Tribolium castaneum: one gene and its partners. The main gene of each other region encodes a partner of the protein of the gene in region 7 in a complex. Links are inferred from orthologs where the notes say so. Each region holds a gene or a part of one and is shown on either strand. Other genes may lie near its edges.

Region 1 (2,332 bases), on a different chromosome or scaffold from region 7:
ATAATTGTGTAAAAATTTTCTAGAAATATATTATTCATGACACTGGTTGTTTGATCTGGGGCAGTTATTCCTGATAAAAAATGGTTATATTTAAATTACGATAAGTATAACGCAAACAAAAACTACAGGCTGATAGAGCATTTAGGGCCACATTCATAATCGGGTTTAAAAGAGCATTAAAGTAGATGTTTATTTTTCACAAATCTTTCACACATTCCAAAAAACATTTAATTTAATGCTCCGTTAAATTCGATTATGAAAGTGGGCCTACATTTTCGATGGCAAGAAATAAAAGCACAAAAATTATCATAAACAATATTAAAAAAAGCAAACTTTCACCATATTTTTTAAAACGCTGCAAATATGGTTGAAAAAAGTGTATAGAATGCTTTTTTCCGAGAAAGTCTGCCATATCATATTTCTATCATTAACCATTTATTAGGTTTAAACAAATTTAGCGTGAGCGGCTGAAATATGGCCTCAAGAATTTTTTTCCACAAAAAAATGTCTGTTAGCTGTTTCAAATTTATAAAAACGCCAACGTTGCATTTTACCGATTTTATTTTTAAATAAGATTGATAAAAATATGAAATAGTTATTATTGATTAAATCTCTTATTGAAACTATAAATTACATTAGTTATTATTTTTTTGAAGTGCATGAATAATTTATAATAGCTAATTTTGAGAGAAAATGCGACGTTAGCGTTTTTATAGTTTTGAGACAGCTAATAATATACGTATTTTTCCCCATTTTTTCAGTTCGTCTCCTTTTTTCTCAAAACAGTTAAAAACTGACCAAATAAACACATAATGTCTATATACGTAAAAAATTACTAAGTATAAAAACTAGCATAACATAATATAATAATAAATAATAGTATATTTAAAAACAAGTTTTCTATGGGATGAGTGCGCCAAAACCCTTATAAAACGAGAATGTTTTTATGATTTTTTCTTATTTTAATTAAATTTTTTTGTCGTCTAGGGAATTTCGTGTCAGTTGGTGACGGTAATAAATAATAAATAAAGAAGAAATGATGATTAAATCGATCGTACGTGTATTCCACGCATTATCGATGAAACTCTTGAAAACTAAATATCCCTAAATTCATTAAAGTACACTGTACTTTAATAGCCATAAACGACTCCTACTGATATATGTTAATACACGTGTATTATAAACGAAAAATATAATATAATAATAGAGAGACTGACCACTATCCTGTTACACTACAAAACGAAGGATTTTTAAGGCTCATATTTACAATTGCGCGTTATTCAAGTGAAAATAGTATAGCATTTTTGGTGGCACCTAAAGAAAATTTCAGAAATACAACACACCCTGTATAATAAATGTTAGCGAGAGGAATAAAAACCTAGGGACTTTTTTGCTGCCGAACAACAGTGGCAACCCTAACATTTAACACTAATGAGTAGTGAGTTGAGTTCGAGGTTAGGTGAACTTAGGAGCATCAAAACAAAAGTGTGTTTCTTCTTTGTGTGTCTCTATTTCGTAATTTACTGCAATTTGTAAAAGTAATGGGCGACCGCTACAACATCCACAGCCAGTTGGAGCATCTCCAATCGAAATATATCGGAACAGGCCACTCTGAAATAACGAAATACGAATGGCTGCTGAACCAGCATAGAGACAGTTACGCCAGTTATTTGGGGCACCACGATTTGTTAAATTATTTTGCGATTTGTGAGAACGAGGCAAAAGCCCGAGTTAGGTTTAATCTAATGGAGAAAATGCTTCAACCGTGTGGTCCACCTCCAGATAAACCCGAGGATTAGATTATAGTAAAGTCAATAAAAATTTTCATATAATCGTTGTTTTTTTTAAAAGACCATTTTAGAATTCTTCCGATAACTAAAATAATTGTAGCCGAAAGGTCTACTTTGTATTTCATTTCGCCTTTATTAGAATAGAATACCTACTTTATTTGTGTCAATACTAATTGCACTAATAGAGTATTCCACACACGCCGCAAAATTAACTTACATTTAAATAGGTATTACTGTATTACATAGGCAAGATATCACTAAAATCATTCCGAAGATATGTATTCCTTAATCGAATAAAAAGTTTTGGAAATTAAATAGTGTTTCAAGTTCTTTAATAAAAACATGGAGGAAAATTTCTAAAGGTAGTGGAAGGGCATTTAAAAATGTATTTATTTATTACCCTTATTAGGAATATAATTTTTTCTAGTACAATAATTTATGACTTTAAGAGAATATTCTTAGCTTTAGTTCGCTGCATTTTTATAAAAAAAAAACAGATTTTCAATATATTTATTTTTTATTTACCAATTATAGTGACAATA
Region 2 (3,733 bases), on a different chromosome or scaffold from region 7:
TTGGACAACTCAGCACCCGTAAGTAACTGGGGGAAGTACACAAATGTAGTTCTTACGTAACAGTTCTTAGAAACACGTCAAGACCCCAGTTGTAAAAAATGACAAAAATCAGTGAAATCAGCCGAAATTCGTCTGCAAGCCTTTCCGACGATGACGAGGAGACAAGAGTGCGCAAATTTGCAAAACACATGCTCAAGAGCTCCCTATTTATCGGTACGTTTCTGGAAAAAAGGCTGGTTGAACCTTTGAACTCGTACCGCGATGTAATTAAAATATGCGACGATGAACACGACCTTATTGCGAATTTAAAAGCAGTGAGGAAGCGCTGCTTGAAGCATTTTACCAAAAATGTGTGGATTGGTATCACGGAGCCGAAAACAATCGGGGCCCCGGCAGGTTACAATTTGTGGGTGAGTCTGGACGAAGAGGTTTTTGGGAGTTTTTGGTACAAAATCAAAAACGTTGAATTCTTCCACAATGAAGTTAGAGTCAAGCTTGAAGTTGTGAGGCCAGTCAGAGAGAAGACTCCAGTTCATAATATAACTCCCACTCAGATTTTTGAAGACGTTTCTCAGAAGAATTTGGGTGAATTGGGTGCAAAATTTCAGGAGTTTTTCAAGGATCAGTTGAGGAACTTGTTTACTGAAACCTTGACTTGGCCCAACATTAAACAAGCCACCATATTTATGGTTCTTTTGTTATCAACACTGATCACTTTCTTGATACACACCATCAAGTACCTTCTAGACTATCTCCTGAAACTTTTGCGTGAAACGCAAGGACTTATCAGGGTTTGCACCCCAATTATTGTCAACTTTATGACTTTAATTTCGAATACCATTTGTGGATTTTATTCTTTATTGGCGGTTTTGTGGCGAAATCGGTCACCACCAATCAATCAATTACACATATCTCCGTATGATGTACCATATTATAGAAGTAATATGAGGGCATTACCTTACCAGGCAGGAGACTTTCAAAGGTATCGCAAATCTCGCGGATCTTCAGTCAAGATCACTCCGTTGGATTAAGTTTCTTTGCATTATATAATTCTGTTTGCATTTTTAATCACATCGCTGCAAAGTGGGGCACTAGGCAAAGCTACTTTATTGTAGTCGACTCACAATGTAAATAATTTGTGTAATATTGCTTTTATCTGGGCTCAGGAATGTTGACATTGGGACTTGTACAGATAAAAACTAGATGCGTTTTGTGGTCAAAAAACTATGTATTTTATTGTAGACTTAATAACGAAATATTTATAAGTGAAACAACTCGTATCTATTTTTATAATTGTTGAAAAATACAAATGTTAAAAAAATTGGCGTGCTTTTATTTTGTGACCAAAACTACCCAAATAAGAAATTCAATTCAATTTGGTATGGAAATTAACTATTTTTTGGTTAAAAAAAAAAAAAACTCAAACTCCCTCCACGGTTGAGTCAATAGTAGTTTCTTTTCCTGTCTATTCTACGAACCAAAAGTTACCAAATGGTGGATTTGGTGATTTTTTGCAGAGAGGTTAAGTACGATTTTGTTTATTTACCCGAAGATTAATTACTAGTATTACAATTCAGTAAATATCCGGAGTTAAATACTCGTCTTCACAATGACCGAAGACGTGCAGAGACACTCCGTACATACGTTAGTATTCCGTTCCTTGAAACGGTCTCACGACATGTTTCTCTCAAACCAGGGACTACTGCCATCAGTGGACGAAAAAGCGTGAGTAACAAACCACAAAAACAAGCAGCCCTTAATATTACGAATTAAATAGCGAAATGGTGCGAAAAGCCATAAAAGCCCGTGACTTGTACGGCCTAGTCTTTGACGACGTTAAGAAAATGCAAGCTATGAAGCACTTACGGGAGGCAGAAGCTGGGCCAAACCCCCCACCACCGGGCACACGCACTGACGACGCGGCCCCAAACACCGAGGGGGCTGTTGTACCGTACACTGACACAAGTTTGATGACACGAAGCGTCCAAAATAACACACAAAACCAGCTCGCCAATTTAATGAAAAAAGTCCCCACAATGCCAAAGCCGAAATGGCACGCCCCTTGGAAGCTATACAGGGTGATTGCGGGGCATTTGGGGTGGGTCAGGTGTGTTTCGGTGGAGCCAGGAAATGAGGTATAAAATTTTTGTTGGCAGCAAATTTGTTACCGTTTTTTTGTTAGTGGTTTGCGACCGGCGCAGCGGACCGAATAATAAAAATCTGGGACCTGGCAAGTGGGCAGTTGAAAGTGTCCCTAACTGGGCATGTGAGCACGGTCAGAGGGTTGGCTGTGAGCAGTAGACACCCTTATTTGTTCAGTTGCGGTGAAGACAGACAGGTCAAGTGTTGGGATTTGGAGTACAACAAAGTCATTAGACATTACCATGGCCATTTATCGGCTGTATACTCTCTAGCGCTTCACCCCACAATCGATGTTTTATTAACAGCAGGGCGTGATTCAACAGCCCGGGTTTGGGACATGAGGACGAAAGCAAATGTTCACACTTTGACCGGCCACACGCATACTGTAGCTAGCGTGGTGGCGCAAGCCTCCGAACCTCAAGTTATCACAGGATCTCATGATACCACAATCAGATTATGGGACCTGGCAGCTGGGAAATCAATTTGTACGCTTACCAATCACAAAAAGAGCGTTAGAGATGTGATTCTCCACCCGACTTTGTACGATTGTTTAATTATTTTTTTTGTAATTATTTTATTATTTGTAGGAACATGTTCGCGTCGGGCTCACCCGATAACATAAAACAGTGGAAATGTCCTGACGGGAAATTCATACAGAATTTGTCCGGTCATAATGCTATTGTTAATTGTCTCGCTGTCAATCCAGAAGGCGTCCTGGTTTCAGGGGGCGATAATGGAACTTTACATTTCTGGGATTGGAGGACCGGTTACAATTTCCAAAGATTACAAGTAATTTTTGTAACTTTGAAGGAAGTCAATCGATTAATGTTACATTTTTAGGCCCCAGTACAACCTGGGTCAATGGACAGTGAAGCTGGAATATTCTCAATGATTTTCGACAATTCTGGCTCAAGATTAATCACAACTGAAGCTGACAAGACCATCAAAATCTACAAAGAGGATGAAACTGCGACTGAAGAAACGCATCCGATTAACTGGAAACCCGATATTTTGAAACGGAGGAAATTCTAATTCTATGATTAAAATAATTTGTATTTTTATAAAAATAATAAATAAAATTTTATGAGCTACTAAAAAGTTTTAATTTTACCCAACTTTGCATTATTTATCAAATTTTCCGAAAATTAATCAAACCATTTGACATTTCTAGACCATTAATAATCGCAGAAGTGCACAAAACTTACGATTTTCTAGATGTAAAATCGTGAGGGTAAAGGTTAAAATGCTCTACGATAAATAATTTTTAATTTGATAAAAACAATAAATTAATTCGTTTGCGAATTTGGAATGCTTGTTACCAATCATATTTCCTCGTTCAAGTCGTAATCTTCCTCAGGGAAGTCGCCACATTCAACGTTGTGTGGCTTAACAAAGGCGCCATAATTATTAGCACATTCAAAATATTTCTTGCCTTTAAATCTGCAACAAAAGCTAGAATTTTTTTTCAACTGATGGTCGTAACTTACGTTCCATCGTTTTTGCCCAAAGGTTCGTCATACTTGACCCCTATCCAATATCCAGGTAAGGTCTCAACAGGCCCTGTGTACATCACAGTGCCAAGTCTGCAGGG
Region 3 (3,992 bases), on a different chromosome or scaffold from region 7:
GGAAACTTCGTGACATGAATTTCGTCTTCGGCTGTAGGTCTTTTAAAAATTAATCACGAAAAGTACCGTTTAATTACCATCTCAACCTCATTCCGAAGGCTAGTCATCTCAGACAATACGAAATACCTGACCAAATACTCAACAAGATGATGACATCACCGGTTTTCCAAAAAACCGTCAATGATGGGTAAAATCATCTAAACCCGACACTGTCCCGTGCATTACATTGACCACCTGTCCAGTACGTACCTACTCAAAGCGATACCTGATCATTGACCTCATCATATAACTGTTCTTCGGCGTTTATGTGGGCTGCAGAGGGCAAATATTTTGAATATCGGTAAATCTACATACTCGCGCGAATTGAGCCCTGCGCCCCTGCAAACTTACCGCAAAAACCGTATTTTTGCTAATGGCCATCCTGTCCTGACTCTGGCACTTATGAGACTCGAAAAATTGCAAATCTAGCAAACAATAATTTTCGGTGCGTTTCACTCAAAATTGCCAATCCATATTTGAACCACCTTTTTTCTACTTTATTTTTTCACTAACTGGCACTGTGGTCACTGGTGCACTTTGGTCGGGTGCTGCACGAAATAATTTCTTTGAAGTGTGCCAGTAGACTGAAGACCAGGTTGTTCTTGAACTTGTGAAACGGAAATGATATAATGTTGTACCTGGGAGGGATTAAAGAACAAGAACAGTTGCTAAGTGGGAGAACACCCTGTTTTCCTATTATAACAGATGACTGGCTAATAGTCGACGGACCATTACGGTTCAATGGAGGCTACCTGTCTCATCTGGGCCCCCAATTATGTTGTGCTGAAGACAACTTTGTTTCTCGAGTTCTAAGAAAAATACCAATTGGGATTTGATTTCGTGAACAAAACAGTTTTTTTGACTAGCACTTTATGTTTAGAGCGTTTGATTGGGAGTGAATGACCGGCAAAAAGCAGTTCATTTGGGAATTTTTCCGGAATTTTATTTTTTACAACTGGGCTGCTCTTGTGTGCTATTTTTGCACAAAGTAGCGTTTTTGCCTCATTTTTAGTAAAATACGTGGTTGGGCGTTGTTGTAGTTTTGCGATAAAGCGGCTTTTATTAAAATAGGTTTGAATGAGTTCTCAGATTTTAAAGTCGCGCTTGGCCCGGTCGGTGCGGTAGAGCTGCGGTGGTAAGGCAGAATCTGGAATTATCAACAAATTTGACGCCATGACGCCACGCCATTTTGTTGGAAGCAACATGGATTTGTAGAATTTAGTGCGCGATTAATTGTAAAAAACGATGATTTTTTTATTGTGAGTCGCGTTAATCGGGAGTTTGCATTAACCGCTGTAGTTTAGTGTTATAGTAAATCATGTGAAGAATTCAATTATGTGTATATCGTGAAGTCAAGTACCGGCGTCTGTGCTACAGTTCCTCGTTTCTTGATTTAGTAATTTGAGTGGTTTTTGTTAGTTTGCAACGAAAGGACCATTTCCGGACTCTATGATGATGTATACGGTGAGTTTTTTGCAAGTGGATTACGTCCCCCCTTGGTGTTTATTAATAGAACTGTCAAATATTTTAAGGGATTATTGTTGTAAACAACTCGTTTCAGGGCACAACCACCGAGCAAGACAATCGCTTCAGCGATAAGGAAAAAAAGCTCCTGAAGCAGATGAAGTTCAGCGATTGTTTGAGTCAGAGGGTAAATTAAGCCAAGCGTAGGTACCGTGATAAAGCAGCGCTCAATTGCAGGTTGATATGTCCAAAATTAAACTTGATGTCATCAAGCCGTGGATCCAAGACAAATTAACGGAAATCTTGAAAATTGATGACGACGTCGTCGTCGATTTTGTTTATAATCAACTAGATGAGAAGGTACAACATTGCCAACTGAAACTCGCTTGCTTAAATATTTACGTTGCAGTTTCCCGATCCTAAAAAGATCCAAATCAATCTTACGGGGTTTCTGCATGGGAAAAACGCGCGCGAGTTCATGGCCGAGCTGTGGGCGCTCTTGATCTCAGCACAGGAGAACCCGTCCGGAATCCCCGACTCACTCTTGGACTTGAAGCGTGAAGAAATCATAAAAAAGAAGGTTTGCATAAATTACATACTTTTGGTGGTATCACCGCTTGTGTTATATTAGGAGAAAGAGGAAAAAGAGCGTGAGATTCGGGACCGGGAAAGAGAAAAAGAGCGCGAACGCGAAAAGTCCGACAAGGAGAAGAAATACAGGGATAGGGACAGGTCCAGGTCTAGGAGGAGATCACGGTCAAGGTCGCGGCCCAGGAGGCGGTCGGTTGAAAGGTCCAGCAGGAACAACGATAGAGGGAAGGACAAGAGGTCAAGGAGCCGTTCCAGATCCAGGATCAAGATTGATGATTTGAGGAACAACGGCAACGCAAGTCCCAACGAACGGGAGAATAATGGCAGAGAGGATTCTGCCAAATTGGAAAGCAGTACTGCCAATTCTAAACATAATTCGTAAGTTTGTTTACTGATAGATTAAATTTGTTGCGGAAATTAATTGCACGTTGTGGTAAGTGGTGAGTTTTGTAAATTGCTTCAGTAACTCGTGTTACGACACAATTTCAGCAAGATGCTAAAAATGGTTATTATTTTTATGACGCGCAAAATTCGTTGAATAAATAAATAAAGAACGTTAGAGAAAGTTGGTTTCTTTCTTGATTATATCACTGGCTAAAAGTATTTTAAGCAAGTGAAAAAATTTGCACATTTTAATACTGCGTGGATTTTTTGTTTAATAAGTTTTCTAAGGTTTGCGCTATTTTGGCACGTTTTGGGATTGATTTTATTTTTATTTGTTAACGTATTAAAATAATTGTGGATTAATTTTTGTGATTTTGTATGTATTTAATAAAAACCATTCTTTGTCAACATGCATTGATGATGCAGCTTTAATCATCTAATGATGGAACGTTATATTGGAAATGGACGTAGTTGTGTGAGCAAGTTGACTTTGTTATGTGATTCAAATAATTTTCTTAAAATTATTCGAATAGATATTAGTTTACAGGTTTTTTGTAATCTGTTTTTAATTACGTCGAAAAATTATGCAAACGGTTATTTACGTTACAAGGATTAAAAACGATATGTTGCATTACGTGGGTGAGTGATACGTTGTGTTTTCATAAGAGTAACGTACAATATTTTTTCTGTAGCTTTATTAAAACATTTTTTAATTATGTATTAAAATAAATGTTATTTTTATTACAAAATTACGTTGGTATTTATCACTTTTTATTTTGTTTTTTTTTTCACACTAATCATTATCGTGCCAGTGCCTGGTAAACACGAATTTATTAATAGATTTTTTATATTTGTATTAGAAGTTTTATTTCCCGGTGTTCTTCTTTGCCAAGAAAACATTTTTAAAGTTTTTTTGTCTTAGCTTGCGTCCAAGCACTTTTATTAAAAAAAGTCAGTTATATAAACTATATTATGGCTATAAATAAATACCTCAGTCTTATTGGTTTTATAAAACTTTATCGTCCATTGTATAAAATAATTACAAAAATTAAAAACCACTTGTAAGGAAGAATAACAGTTTAAATAATAGCGTTACCTTTTTTTTGTATGTGATGGGTTGTACCGATGTATTTAATGTTTGTTCGGACATTTTGTGTAATCAAAATGCATCGTTGGCTTCGTCTTGATTCCATTATTTTTGTTGCCCGTTTTGCAAACGATGTGGGCAGGTTTAACGTTGGCTTTACTGTCTAGAGAGAGTTCCCAGCCCGTGTCAAAGCTTCAAGCGAAGCTGATGTCCATGGCCGGCGGCAACGGCAAACAGCAGCAACAGCAGCGTAACTCCCGTTCCCGTTCGAAATCAGTATCTCGCTCCCGTTCAAAGTCGGCTTCACGCTCCAAGTCACCCAGCAAATCGCATTCGAGATCCCGTTCGTCGTCTAGTCCACGAGCATCAAAGGATCGCAAGTCGCGCTCCCTCTCCAAGGACAAGGAGAAACGTCGCTCCCGCTCCA
Region 4 (2,640 bases), on a different chromosome or scaffold from region 7:
CGAATAATTGGTAACAAATTGGACCGAAATTAGCTTTTTTACGTTGAATTTTTTTCCACACCATTCACACTTTGAGTTAGCAACAATTTTTTATGTATCTTTTGCACAAATCAACTTTTAAGCATTTGTTGTCTTAGAATGTTATAAGAAGTAATAAAAAAAAATGTTTGCACCGCACAAAATATATTAAAACATATTTTCTGAACTTACCTTTAAATTTTAATTTTAAATTTTTTTTTAGTTTTTTTTTTTGAAAACACGAATGTTCGGTAACTCAAAATATACTTTTTCAAATTATTGTGTATGTTATATCAAGTAGGTTGAGGAAGTCTAAATATTTAATTTAATTTAATGACCGGAACAACATTATTAATAACAAAAATCTTTTTTTCTATATTAATTACTTTGTTAATTTTAATGAATTCTTTTTCTACCTCAGAAGCTTGAGTACACGTATTTATTGGAAAGAATAATTATAGAACAGATTAAGATTCATAATTAATATAAAAAAGTATATTTTGCTGACAACTGCTAATTTGTAGAAAAGAATTGTAGAAAAATTTTGAAAAGAATTACATAGATAAAAAAAATTAAATATTTATTAGCAAACGCTGGAAACCAGACAGAAATGCCTAAGTTTGTTGTAGATTAAGTTTACAAAAATAATAATAATCTGAGTGATCAATGATTTTAAATCTAAGTTGGCCACAATAACTATCAAATCTAAACGTTAATTTTTGTACTCGATTTTTAAATTTCACCTACAATTTATAGTACCAATAATAAAAATAAGTGTTGCCAACTTAATTTCAAAATGTATTTTGCTCTGTTTTCCAGAACGGACAGATGATGATGATAGTGATGACGATGATAGCGAGATGGAGGATGCTTCTGACGAAGAATTGTCAATGGACGAAGATGAAGATTTCGATGAAGATGACCTTGAAATGAACGATGATGACAAAAGTATATTTTTTGTAATAATAAAACACAAAATTATCCTTTGCTTGCAGTGCTTCTGGGTGACTTAGACGACGATGAAGACGAGGAAGTTGTTTTTGACGATGAAGAACCGAAGTCAGCAAAATCAAAGAAGAAAAAATCCAAAGACACAAACTCAATATTTGCATCAGCTGAAGAATTTGCCTCATTGCTTGACGATGAAGGTAGTTCGAAAATAGCCCCAGGAAGTTCAAATGCGTTATCAAATAAGGATAATGCGAGCACTAAACAACTTGCCTGGGAACAGAGTAGAAATAGGTGGTTGAAGGGATTTGATGAAGTAGTTGGCAAAAAGAAAAATAGTAAAGGTAGCAATTTTGGCAAGAAAAGGAAAGGTCCAAATAAATTTAATAATAAGGCAAAGAAGAGGAAGAATTAATAATCGACAAGGAAGCAGTCGATTGCATTTTAATTAATATAATTCTTTACGAATCCACCAGTTTTGTGTTTTATTTAATTCGTGTTGGTTGTATTTCGCGAATATACAACTACACATAACCCATAACCTAACTTTTCGTGACGTTTAACAGTACGTTCTGTTTATTATCTTCGTGTTTACAATTTCGTACCAAATTCACAATAATTATCGTGTTTTGTGAAAATGGTGTGCGAAAAATGCCAAAAGAAGTTGGGCAAAGTGATAACACCAGATCCTTGGAAAAGTGGGGCTAGAAATACAACTGAGTCAGGGGGTAGGAAAGTTAACGAAAACAAGGCTTTAACAGCTAGCAAAAACAGATTTAATCCATACACGTCCAGTTTTGAGACTTGCAGGTTTGTTAATGCAAGTAATCCTTAAAATTGATTTACTCTTCTCATGTTTTTATTGTAGAATATGTAGGCAAAAGGTGCACCAGGTTGGGTCACATTATTGCCAGTCCTGTGCTTATAAAAAAGGAATTTGTGCGATGTGTGGTAAGAAATTGTTGAGTACGAAGAATTACAAACAATCGTCAACTTGAACTACATTTTGTGTGTTACTTTTAAACAAAATTAAGCCTATTCTAAGTTTTAGAGCAATTTGCATTGTTTTGTAGGTACTGTTAGGTTTTCTGTCTGTATACAGTGAGTGTACGACAATTTAATTATCTTGAATGATAAGGTGTGTAATTATATTTAATAACTTATGACAAAAGTTTTTTATTTCATTTTTATGATAACATTTTTAACTTATTAATTCATTTCTACCTATTCTATCCCTATTTCTTTTTTGTTATTAAGGTTGACTATACATTATTAAAACGCAACTATCAAATATTCTAGAATTATTATTTGGACTTTTTTATAAACTAAAAAACTGTACCTGTAATATTATTTCCACAAAGTTAAAATACGATTTTGTCTTATTGCACTAAAAAAATAATTGAAAAAATTGATGTCTGTCGTATTATTAAATACTTCTAAAAGTGGCTACACTGTATATAACCTTTTAGAAATGAATTTCAGCGATTGGATTTTAAAAATTCACTTCCCTGTATATAAAAAAAACGTGACGAAGTCGTAACAAAATTCAATGAATCAGACAAACCTCTTTGTTTTCCACCTTGCAGTAATTACTTATCTCAGTGATTATATTTTTTGTTGGTGACGTTTTATCCATACACTTACACAATACTGCCGTTTAATTTTATTCAGTTT
Region 5 (2,765 bases), on a different chromosome or scaffold from region 7:
TCATTGGTCAAAGAAGCTTTGCACTGGTCACTTGACTAAACATTTTTTTCAGTATATTGATGATAAACCGGGCGATTTCGTGGACGTTGACACTGCGAAAGTCGTGGGTCAACACAATGGGGTGCACCAGTGGACTTTGGGGCAAAGGGCGCGCCTCCACAGCTACGAAAGCCCTTATTTCGTGGCCCGGAAAGACGTAGACAAGAACATAATTTACGTAGTCAAAGGGACAAAACACCCGTTACTTTACACGAACATAATTTTGACCAGTGAGCCCCACTGGATCCACTCACAGCCCCCTGATTTACAAAACGGGGTTTTGGAGTGCGATTTCAAGTTCCAACACACCAAATATTGGGTCAAATGCCAGGTGTGCCAAACAAGTAAAGGACTGATTATTAAAGTGAATAGGTACAAGAGGGCCATCACTCCGGGACAGTTCGCTGTCTTGTCGAAAGATGGCGAGTGTCTCGGAGGGGCTCGAATAATTAACACGGGAGTTTCACACTTCTCGCTATATTATTTGGAGAATAATGGTCTAGGGAGTGTCTCCCACATTTTGAAAAAATATGTCAATGTGACGCAAGGTGAAGACGAGCTTACTGATAATGAAGATATGAAGCACAGAGCTGTAAATAGATGTTAGTAAATCAGCGCTTTTTCTTATTCGGACTCCGCGACCGCTTCCTCCTATCCTCGTCCTCTGACACGCTGTCTTCAGCGGAGTAATCCGACCCTGACTCGCCCTTCTTCTTCTTTTTCTTCTTCCTATCTGAATCGGATTCGCTGCTGTTTTCGTCCGACTTCTTTTTCTTCTTCTTCTTTTTCTCCTTCTTGTGTTTCTTTTCCTTCTTCTCTTTCGTGACAACAGGCTCCGGCGGCGCCTCCTCGTCCACTTTCTCCTTTTTTATCGTGTAAATGGGCAAGCGCTCAGGCAACTTGATCTCAGAATTAATCTGGTCGGCCAGTGTTTCGCGAAAATCGTCAGGGTCTGTTTTAATCTTCACTGGCGCTTTGACAGGAACTTGCACAGGGACGGCCTTGGGGGCACAGCCCTCATCGTACAGTTTCTTCGTCTCAGCGTCCGTTTTCTTGCCCTGTTTGGGCACCTTGTAGTTACTGACGTGGTCGACTCGTATCGTCCTGTTCAAGATTTTGATTCCGTTGAAATTATCAACGGCCAAGTCGGTCGATCTTTGGTCCTCGTAGCACAGGAAACAGAAGCCCTTTGACTTGCCCGAGTCCTTATCCCTGATCAGGTTTATGTTCACCACTTCGCCATACTGCGAGAAAATGCAAATTATGTCGCCCTCGGTCAGGTCGAAGGGCAAACCGCCGATGAAAACCCACGCACTGTCCCTGTATTGGTCATGCCAGGAGGTTTTATTACCGGTGTAGAGCTCCTGTTCGCTCAGTTTCTTCACATTTTTCATGTTCCTGGAAAGACAACTTCGCAAAATTGGGGCAAAAAATCGACAATACTTACGTTAACGGATTCATGGTGCGTGATTGTGGGGCCTCTGACCCCGAAAAACATGAACAAATACAAATAAAACAAATGTTCAAAAAATAGGTTAGGTATTTGACGTACGTTTGACGTTTGTGTTAATTGCGTTAAGGTGCATTCACACCGCGGCTGGAACTATTAAGGCGACTTCACATCGGTTTGTAAATTTATTGCCGTTTAAAAACATATCACAGGTGCATATGAGATCATAAAACGTATAAATAGAAACGATACAACTTATAATAAAATTGATTGTGCTATCCGCCCACTTCCTCACTCCTTAAATTGGCAAGTAGCTCGATTAAATTGGCAATTTTCAACGCCAACTCTTTGCTTTCCGCTTGCAGGGCGACAACGCGTCGATCGGCATCACTGTCACTCCCGCTCTTTTGTTTTTCCAGCTCACTTTCGACTTTTTCGATTAGAGCATCCATGGCTTCAAGCCCCGTTGTCAGATTTAACATCTTCAAATGTTTGCGGGGCTCTTCACTACTCCGCACAAAATTGATTTCGTTCGATAATTGTTCCTGTTGTTGATCAACTGATAGTTTTGTACTTGTGACAACTTCATCAGTGTTTAGTAACTTTTCGATTTTGTACTTGTTTTTCAAAAGTTCGGCATAGTGGAAGAGGAGTTCGTCCTCGGTCTTGGTCAAGGCGTAACCTTTCTCGCCTTTTCGGAACCTGACATCGTCCATAATCGACGATAGGTATTTTCGGCGGCTTTTCAATTGCTGTTCCTTCGCTATTTGGTGTCTTAAGGAGGCCAAAATTTTGTCTTCTTGGTGGAATTTTTCGCGCAGGTTGGCCACCCTTTCGTAGTACTCCTGGACACGGGTTTGCTCCTCCAACAATTGATTACGAATCGCGCGTTCCATTTCTGACAATTTATTTAATTAAAACCCCAAAAAATGTACAAAAACTTACCCAAAATTCGCTTATTCTCTTCTTCCTCCACTTCGAAATTTTGCAACCGCTCCAAACTAATCAATCGGCGTCTGAACAAATCAACCTCGTCTGTTTTCAACCCCGCCATCTCTCTCTTCATCTCGGCCTCTTTATCCGACATCTCGATCATGGTTTTGGGGTAATCACAAAAATTGGGGTATTCCCCCAAATTAATTTTCTTGAACATGTTCAAATATTGCCGTGGGTGCACGGCCTCGCCCGTCTTGGCCAAAATGTGGTAACTTTTCGTTAGCAATTTTTTAACATCTATGGGATGATGCGTTTTGTAAAAACACCGAAATTGTTTATC
Region 6 (2,140 bases), on a different chromosome or scaffold from region 7:
GTAAATCAGGCACCAATAAAAGTAATGGTTTATTGTGTATACCTAACTCGAATTTACCACCATACAAAGCAGATTTATTCACCTAAATGTCTATAAAAATTTCGACTCGACTAATGACTTTTTTTTTTCGTGTTGTGGAGACCGTGACCTCGACTTAGATCTTGAGTTATTTTGTTTACTATTCGATTCCCCTGAATCCCCCCAATCCGACAGATCATATTTCGATAAGTCTCCGTCGTCGTCATCCTCCTCCTCGTCCTCCTCCTGCTCCTCCTCTTCTTCCTCCTCAACCTTCTTCTCCACCTTATCTACACTATTTTTCATCTCCTTCACCTCCTCACTTTTCTTCTTTTTCCTCCTCCCGAACTCGTCATATTCGTCGTCAGACTCGTGCTCCTTATACTCGACCACCCCCCTGTCGTTATACCCCCCACCGAACCCCGTCCTCTCCTCCACCTCCCCAAACTTGGGGGCGTTACAAACGTTACACTGCTGCCTCCGCGCCCAATTCACGTTACCGCATTTGTTACACTGCCAATCGTCGGCACTAAACAACCCGCGACTTTTCTCTGCCGCCGCTTTACCGATCTCGTGCCCCAATTTGCGCTTTTTCGCCGACACCGGCCCCCGACTTTTGTAACAACGGTTACAGTTGTTACGGCGGGCGAAATTTACGTTACCGCAGTCCGGACACGTCCAGTCTCCCTCGTTCGACGCCGACGGGCTTTTCAGCGACGGCGGCGGGGGCGGTGTCACTTCGGCCTCTTCCATGGGGGCGATACTAGACTAGAAAAGGCGTAAAGAGTAGTGGCTAGAAGGAGCACTACTAGAGGGAACGGAGGAGCAAATGTTAACATCTGGCGGTACTGGTACTGCTTTTACCTTTACTGAACCTTTTTCCAGCGGTTATTCCAACAAATTTGTTGATAAAAAAGTAACGTCAAACCGAAGATGCACCGAAATGTCACTAGCACAGAGGGATTTTCGACGCCAAACGTTGCCCACACCAATCAGGACACGATCACCAAAACAACAATTGCCTTATTTCAACGCAACACTTACCGATTTCTGATTACAGTTATCACCAAAACCAATGACTTGTTTTGTTTAATTTTTTGCATTAACTATACGTTAAAAATGTGAAAAAATTGGGACAACTGATCATGCCCTGTACTTAGCAACTGTCAAATCTGTCAGTTTGTGTCAAGCGTTTGAAGAGCGTTTTAAATTTTAAAAACTCAAAAAAGTACACAAAATGTCGAAAGCACATCCTCCGGAATTGAAAAAGTGAGTCTTGTTTTGTCGTAGAACGTATTACTAGTTTTTTTGCAGATTTATGGACAAAAAATTGTGTTTGAAGTTGAATGGGGGCCGACAAGTCGTTGGTATTTTGCGCGGTTTCGACCCTTTTATGAATCTAGTGGTGGACGAGAGTGTGGAAGAGTGCCGGGATGGCAAGAAAAACAATATAGGGATGGTGGTACGTTTCTTTTGAATTAGTGTGGATTTGAAATTTGAGGTTATGTTTATTACAGGTGATCCGGGGAAACAGTATCGTCATGTTGGAGGCTCTAGATAGGATTTAGTTTGTAATTTTGGCTTAATCGATAATTATTTGTAATAAAAGCGTTCGATTCTGACCGAGTTTTCTTTTATTGGGCTTGGGGTAGGGTGGAAATAAGTGAATTAGGGTAATAGGAGGGAAAGCATTATCGTCGTCGCTTTTGTGCGTTCATTCACAAAGAAATTCAATTCGTATTGTTTTCCTCGAGCGGTTTGTCCGTAACAGTGTATGAAAAGCTTAGAGAATGTCGCATGCGCGCCGCCACTGTTCCACCGTCGGGAAAATATTGGAAACGTTCGCTAGTTTGGCATTAAAGCGTCTCGGCGGCGACGTTCCAGTGAAAATTTTCGTGTAGTGACGAGTTTTCCAGAGCCACATCACAATCAGCGTCAGGTATTGCCCCCATTGACAGTTTTTCCGGGAAAACATCCGGATCGAAATTAACACCCACTCGATTTTAATGTCATTTCCTTGGAAAATGAGTTTTTTGAGGAACAGTCTTAAAGCAACCACCCTTGACTAGGTCAAAGGAACACGCTGAAATGTATTGCCCTATAAGATTTCGCTTTAATTAGT
Region 7 (4,134 bases):
TTTGTATGGATCTAATTTAGTGTTTTATCATTATTATAAAAGAATTGTTTTTATATAAGTACTCAAACAATCAATCACACAATTTTTTTGACAAATTTTCCTGAAATAATGTTGAGAAACGTGCTATAACTTCCGAAAACGCAAAAAATTTTTCAACACAGTCTTAGTGATTTTCGAATCAAACTTGGCTAAATAATTGCGTTTCTGGATTAAAAAGCTAGAAATACGCAAAAAATACCTTGATTTTTGATACAAATTAATTATTTTTCATGTTTATTTTTGAGATATTTCACACAATAATAACATTTTGAACAATAAAAGATGCTAAAGCACCAGAAGACAGTAAAACTAATGTTATATTCGACCTGATTTCACGAAATTTTGAACAGAAATTATTAATTTTCAATAGGTCAAGTTTAGTGATTTGTTTATTTAAAGTTACACGCTCAAAAAATGCAAAATATAAGCTATTATTTTAACTTATTTTGTGTTTTCTTGGTGGGATTTAGCAAATTAACACCTTGATGATGAAAATTTTGATCTGGTTTTAACAAAAGGTGTTCTAACCCAAACACACGTAAGTGGTCAAGAAAAACTTTTTAAATTTGTAAATGTGCTTATCTATATACTGACCCCACCTGACTGATTTTTTTGAGAAATTATTACATTTTTGGGCCAAAAACGCGCACACACTTTTTTAAAAGGTAAAAAAAAACTCTATTACTTCTAAATTTTGAACAACGTATTATTTCTGGCTGAAAAACTTGCCAAAACAATTTTATTTTCGGCCCAATTTTTGGGTTTATTGCGCTATAAATTTAGGAGACAATTGCTTTGCTGGTTGAAAACTAGTTTACTCGTTGCTAAAACAATCTAAAAGAAGCGTAAATATTTTTGTTGTGTGTTTTTCATAAAATCTTAGAAAAATGTAAATACTAATAAGAACACATCTATAATTTACATAAAAACCGGCAATAAAAAGAAAGTCTTTACAGTGTAAAATAGTAAAGTTTTGTCAAAATGCACTTAAACGCTCAAAAAGTTAATTTTTTTATTTCATTTGCTACTTCTTTTTTAACGAAATACCTTTGAGAAACGTGCTGCAAAAAAAAATTTGATTTTTCAACACAGTTTTAGCAAAAAATGTTTTACTTATTTAACAACTTAGTGAAATAATCTCGTTGGATTAAAATCGTCCTAATACTCGCAAAAATACCAAAAATTGTGTATTTTTCGACCCAATTTAGTCATTTTCTATTCTAGTTCTAGGGAAATCTCGTAAGAAGATTGAGTTTTTAGCACAAAAACGCGCTTAAACCCCAAAAAACTGCTGTATTTTACGTATTTTTTTGTAATTTTTGAGAAAACCTTATGAAATAAATAGCGTTTCTAGCTTTAAAAAATGCCCTAAAATTCTCGAATCAGGCAAAAGTTACATCTTTTTGACTTTATTTAGTGATTTCTCAAACTACTCGAATCGAAATCTCGGAGAAACACTAAATTTTTACTCAAAAAAATATGAAATCAAAATATAGTTGTTTTTCTGTCTGAAAAAATAATCTAAAATGTTACAAAAAAGGCAAAACAGCATTATTTTCAACCACTTTTCATGATTTGCTGGTCGTCACTTCAGAAGTGTGCGTTTGAGAAATGCAAAAATCGCCACACTTTTTACGTAATCTGGTGATTTGTCGACGAATTTTTGCCGAAACATCGCGTCTAAAGGAGGATTAATTATTGAGTTATTACCAGGAGTGTCAAAAATGTTCATTAGGTAACTCTTGTTCTTAACGTCCTGCAAAAGTAGCGTAATTGGGATCGACTTGATCGAGCAGCCCCTTTCCTGCTCCGTGAACAAAGTGTCGGTATATCTCAAATTTTTCTCTTCATAGTCCTGATACCCTGGATGCGTTTGCCGAATCAAACAATCAACAAACGTGGTTTTACCATGATGTAAGTGCCCAATCAAGGCCACGTTACGTATCAGCGACGTATTGTCCATCATATCGGCCAAAAACCTACCAAAAAGTGAAATTATTTTTACCCCTACTTTCACCCAAATAATTACTCCATATTGTACGTCGTATCGGGCAAATCCTGCTCCTTCAACTGAAACTTCTTTTTCTTCACCGGTTCGATCAAAGGCACGTCAAGGGGCTGCGCGTCCTCCTCTTGCACAATAGTCTCCACATCAGGCCCATAGACTTGTAAAGCAGACGGGTAGTATTGCTTGTCCTCGTGCAAGACAATGGCCATGGGTTGGGGCTCACTCTCGTCCATTTGCTCGTCCTGAAAGGGGACAATAAGGGGGCTTCTGGGGACCTCGAGACACTCACATCGTAGTCTTGCTGCTCCTCGTCTTCCTGGGGCTCGGGCTCCTCGTCCTCGTCGTCATCGCTGTCCAGCTCAGGCCCGATGTAATTACCGAACTCGTCGTACAAATCCGCGTCCATGTTCTGGCTTTTGGGGCCCTAAACACGACTCGACATAACCCCAAAAAACAGCAAAAACGGTAAAATCCACACGACCGGAGCACAAAAAACGATGATTCGAGTGGTTTTTGGGACAAATTTGCCACTTTTTGCACGATTTTTGTGAAAAAACGTTGCAAAACGTTAACAAACGAGTCACAGGTTAGGTTGTTGTTGCCGGGAGTTACCAACCATGCGGCCACAAAAAATAAACTCCCTGGACTCACTACATAATTCAAGCCAATTTTATTAATTAATTGAAACAATCACAACCAAATTGTTAGTCGCGACGTTTGGTTTAATTGATAACAGTATCACATCAATTAATTGACAGGAATTATTACCAAGTTGGTCAACCGTTCCGCTAGATGGCGCCCAATCGGCAAATATTGATTTTGGGCCTAAAAATAGACAAATGGAGCAAGGGGGCCTCTTATCTATTTATAAGCCGCTTTGCTTCAGTTTACAGAACAAGACGTTCGTTATTGTTCGTTTTATGGCCAATCGTTTGTCTTTTGTTCACCTTGTCGGGGTCCATGGCCTGCTTAGACGTGACGTAATTGTCACTAGTTTTTCCATTTACCGGCAATGGCGGGGTCAAGTTCACCCGAGGCCAACTACCGTCTTATTGTTACCATAACAACACTATCAAATTCAAGGTTGTAATAATAATAGTATGAGGACTGAGGAGGTATGGAAAAAGCAACAAAACCTCCTAAACCGTTACTGACGCCCCTTTTGTCACCATTGGTCGGGGTTCCCCCCGTTTGAGAGTTACCACGGCGTGATTGGTCGCGCTTAGCGTGGGGGCGTGGCCGGTGTCACACCGTTCGGCCCGGCTTGGCTCCGATTGGCCGCGCCTGAAATAGGCAGGTCGGTGACTTTTAAACAAACTAACCTATTTTTTTAAGGGCAAATTAAGGGCCGTGTCGGGAAATTAACATCAGAGGCGGCTTTGGCACAAAAAGGACGTTTTATTTGTGGTAAAATTTCTGTTTTTAGGAGGCGTTTTAATTGTTTAATATTGTTGTTAATTGACTGTCGTTTGTTAGTCGCGGCCGCCTTGATCGGGTCGCAAATTGTGGTGGTTGTGCCCGATTGTGGCGTTTTTTTCCCAGTTTTGTGCGATGTGGCAACGCCGCACAAGCACTTTCGACAATTCCCGGCTAAAATCGAGTTTATGTGATTATGTGTGAATCATTGAAGTTGGCCGTGATGCCACGTCACAGTTGGCGTCTCTCTCGCACTCGTGTGACGTTTGTGACGATTTCGAGGTCTATATATAGCACAATGTGGAACTAAACTGTTTAATATTTATGTAGAATATTTTAAGCAGACGATGTGATGGTGTTTTGTTTTGTTCGACGGTCAAGTAGGTCGTGGACGCGAGTTGCAATCATTACGAAATGTCACAATGTAATCAAGTTGGCAGGAGATAAAGTCGATTGTTATTTGTTGATTTGATTGTTTTATTGGGGGCACTCCCACTCCCCCCACTTGTTTTAATTGGGTGCCGAGGCTGGGAGAGTGAGATGAAGTGTTGGTGGCGTTTAGGTCATCTTTTTTTAATCGTGTCGGAGATTAGAGCGGAGATTAGAGGGTGAAGTGAGATAAGAAGACGGGTTTGAGTGTGCGAGACAGCGGCGGCTCGTGAATAAATTTA

What was found.
Region 1: 116 kDa U5 small nuclear ribonucleoprotein component (region 7) and Sf3b5 share a complex: the UniProt entries of both Homo sapiens proteins name them as parts of the minor spliceosome. The link is inferred for Tribolium castaneum from reciprocal best matches to the Homo sapiens genes EFTUD2 and SF3B5.
Region 2: 116 kDa U5 small nuclear ribonucleoprotein component (region 7) and Tango4 share a complex: the UniProt entries of both Homo sapiens proteins name them as parts of the minor spliceosome. The link is inferred for Tribolium castaneum from reciprocal best matches to the Homo sapiens genes EFTUD2 and PLRG1.
Region 3: 116 kDa U5 small nuclear ribonucleoprotein component (region 7) and Srrm1 share a complex: the UniProt entries of both Homo sapiens proteins name them as parts of the minor spliceosome. The link is inferred for Tribolium castaneum from reciprocal best matches to the Homo sapiens genes EFTUD2 and SRRM1.
Region 4: 116 kDa U5 small nuclear ribonucleoprotein component (region 7) and cysteine-rich PDZ-binding protein share a complex: the UniProt entries of both Homo sapiens proteins name them as parts of the minor spliceosome. The link is inferred for Tribolium castaneum from reciprocal best matches to the Homo sapiens genes EFTUD2 and CRIPT.
Region 5: 116 kDa U5 small nuclear ribonucleoprotein component (region 7) and RNA-binding motif protein, X-linked 2 share a complex: the UniProt entries of both Homo sapiens proteins name them as parts of the minor spliceosome. The link is inferred for Tribolium castaneum from reciprocal best matches to the Homo sapiens genes EFTUD2 and RBMX2.
Region 6: 116 kDa U5 small nuclear ribonucleoprotein component (region 7) and SNRPG share a complex: the UniProt entries of both Homo sapiens proteins name them as parts of the minor spliceosome. The link is inferred for Tribolium castaneum from reciprocal best matches to the Homo sapiens genes EFTUD2 and SNRPG.

Annotation. Positions count from the first base shown.
Region 1 is NC_087396.1:17,669,865-17,672,196, forward strand, and holds Sf3b5 (splicing factor 3B subunit 5), read left to right. Parts: upstream 1-1,361; 5' UTR 1,362-1,485; intron 1,486-1,539; 5' UTR 1,540-1,541; coding exon 1,542-1,799; 3' UTR 1,800-1,832; downstream 1,833-2,332. UniProt on the Homo sapiens protein: Component of the 17S U2 SnRNP complex of the spliceosome, a large ribonucleoprotein complex that removes introns from transcribed pre-mRNAs.
Region 2 is NC_087397.1:4,268,902-4,272,634, reverse strand, and holds Tango4 (pleiotropic regulator 1), read left to right. Parts: upstream 1-1,413; 5' UTR 1,414-1,526; intron 1,527-1,577; 5' UTR 1,578-1,609; coding exon 1,610-1,725; intron 1,726-1,777; coding exon 1,778-2,135; intron 2,136-2,182; coding exon 2,183-2,682; intron 2,683-2,729; coding exon 2,730-2,931; intron 2,932-2,982; coding exon 2,983-3,174; 3' UTR 3,175-3,233; downstream 3,234-3,733. Other genes in the region: uncharacterized protein LOC656577, read left to right, coding at 99-1,031; Tbcb (tubulin-folding cofactor B), read right to left, coding at 3,465-3,582, 3,630-3,733. UniProt on the Homo sapiens protein: Involved in pre-mRNA splicing as component of the spliceosome. Component of the PRP19-CDC5L complex that forms an integral part of the spliceosome and is required for activating pre-mRNA splicing.
Region 3 is NC_087398.1:3,112,118-3,116,109, forward strand, and holds the start of Srrm1 (serine/arginine repetitive matrix protein 1), read left to right. Parts: upstream 1-1,192; 5' UTR 1,193-1,488; coding exon 1,489-1,503; intron 1,504-1,600; coding exon 1,601-1,690; intron 1,691-1,740; coding exon 1,741-1,863; intron 1,864-1,912; coding exon 1,913-2,083; intron 2,084-2,134; coding exon 2,135-2,472; intron 2,473-3,732; coding exon 3,733-3,992. UniProt on the Homo sapiens protein: Part of pre- and post-splicing multiprotein mRNP complexes. As a component of the minor spliceosome, involved in the splicing of U12-type introns in pre-mRNAs. Involved in numerous pre-mRNA processing events.
Region 4 is NC_087394.1:8,405,410-8,408,049, forward strand, and holds cysteine-rich PDZ-binding protein, read left to right. Parts: upstream 1-1,486; 5' UTR 1,487-1,603; coding exon 1,604-1,776; intron 1,777-1,834; coding exon 1,835-1,964; 3' UTR 1,965-2,140; downstream 2,141-2,640. Other genes in the region: Noc1 (CCAAT/enhancer-binding protein zeta), read left to right, coding at 838-966, 1,014-1,381. UniProt on the Homo sapiens protein: As a component of the minor spliceosome, involved in the splicing of U12-type introns in pre-mRNAs. Involved in the cytoskeletal anchoring of DLG4 in excitatory synapses.
Region 5 is NC_087396.1:22,565,046-22,567,810, forward strand, and holds RNA-binding motif protein, X-linked 2, read right to left. Parts: upstream 1,640-2,765; 5' UTR 1,501-1,639; coding exon 1,487-1,500; intron 1,438-1,486; coding exon 651-1,437; 3' UTR 647-650; downstream 1-646. Other genes in the region: mitochondrial tRNA-specific 2-thiouridylase 1, read left to right, coding at 53-646; TBC1 domain family member 31, read right to left, coding at 1,765-2,387, 2,435-2,765. UniProt on the Homo sapiens protein: Involved in pre-mRNA splicing as component of the activated spliceosome. As a component of the minor spliceosome, involved in the splicing of U12-type introns in pre-mRNAs.
Region 6 is NC_087395.1:18,416,666-18,418,805, forward strand, and holds SNRPG (probable small nuclear ribonucleoprotein G), read left to right. Parts: upstream 1-1,127; 5' UTR 1,128-1,255; coding exon 1,256-1,287; intron 1,288-1,332; coding exon 1,333-1,480; intron 1,481-1,535; coding exon 1,536-1,586; 3' UTR 1,587-1,640; downstream 1,641-2,140. Other genes in the region: zinc finger Ran-binding domain-containing protein 2, read right to left, coding at 91-771. UniProt on the Homo sapiens protein: Plays a role in pre-mRNA splicing as a core component of the spliceosomal U1, U2, U4 and U5 small nuclear ribonucleoproteins (snRNPs), the building blocks of the spliceosome.
Region 7 is NC_087401.1:10,799,871-10,804,004, reverse strand, and holds the start of 116 kDa U5 small nuclear ribonucleoprotein component, read right to left. Parts: upstream 2,801-4,134; 5' UTR 2,454-2,800; coding exon 2,337-2,453; intron 2,290-2,336; coding exon 2,069-2,289; intron 2,019-2,068; coding exon 1,750-2,018; intron 1-1,749. UniProt on the Homo sapiens protein: Required for pre-mRNA splicing as component of the spliceosome, including pre-catalytic, catalytic and post-catalytic spliceosomal complexes. Component of the U5 snRNP and the U4/U6-U5 tri-snRNP complex, a building block of the spliceosome.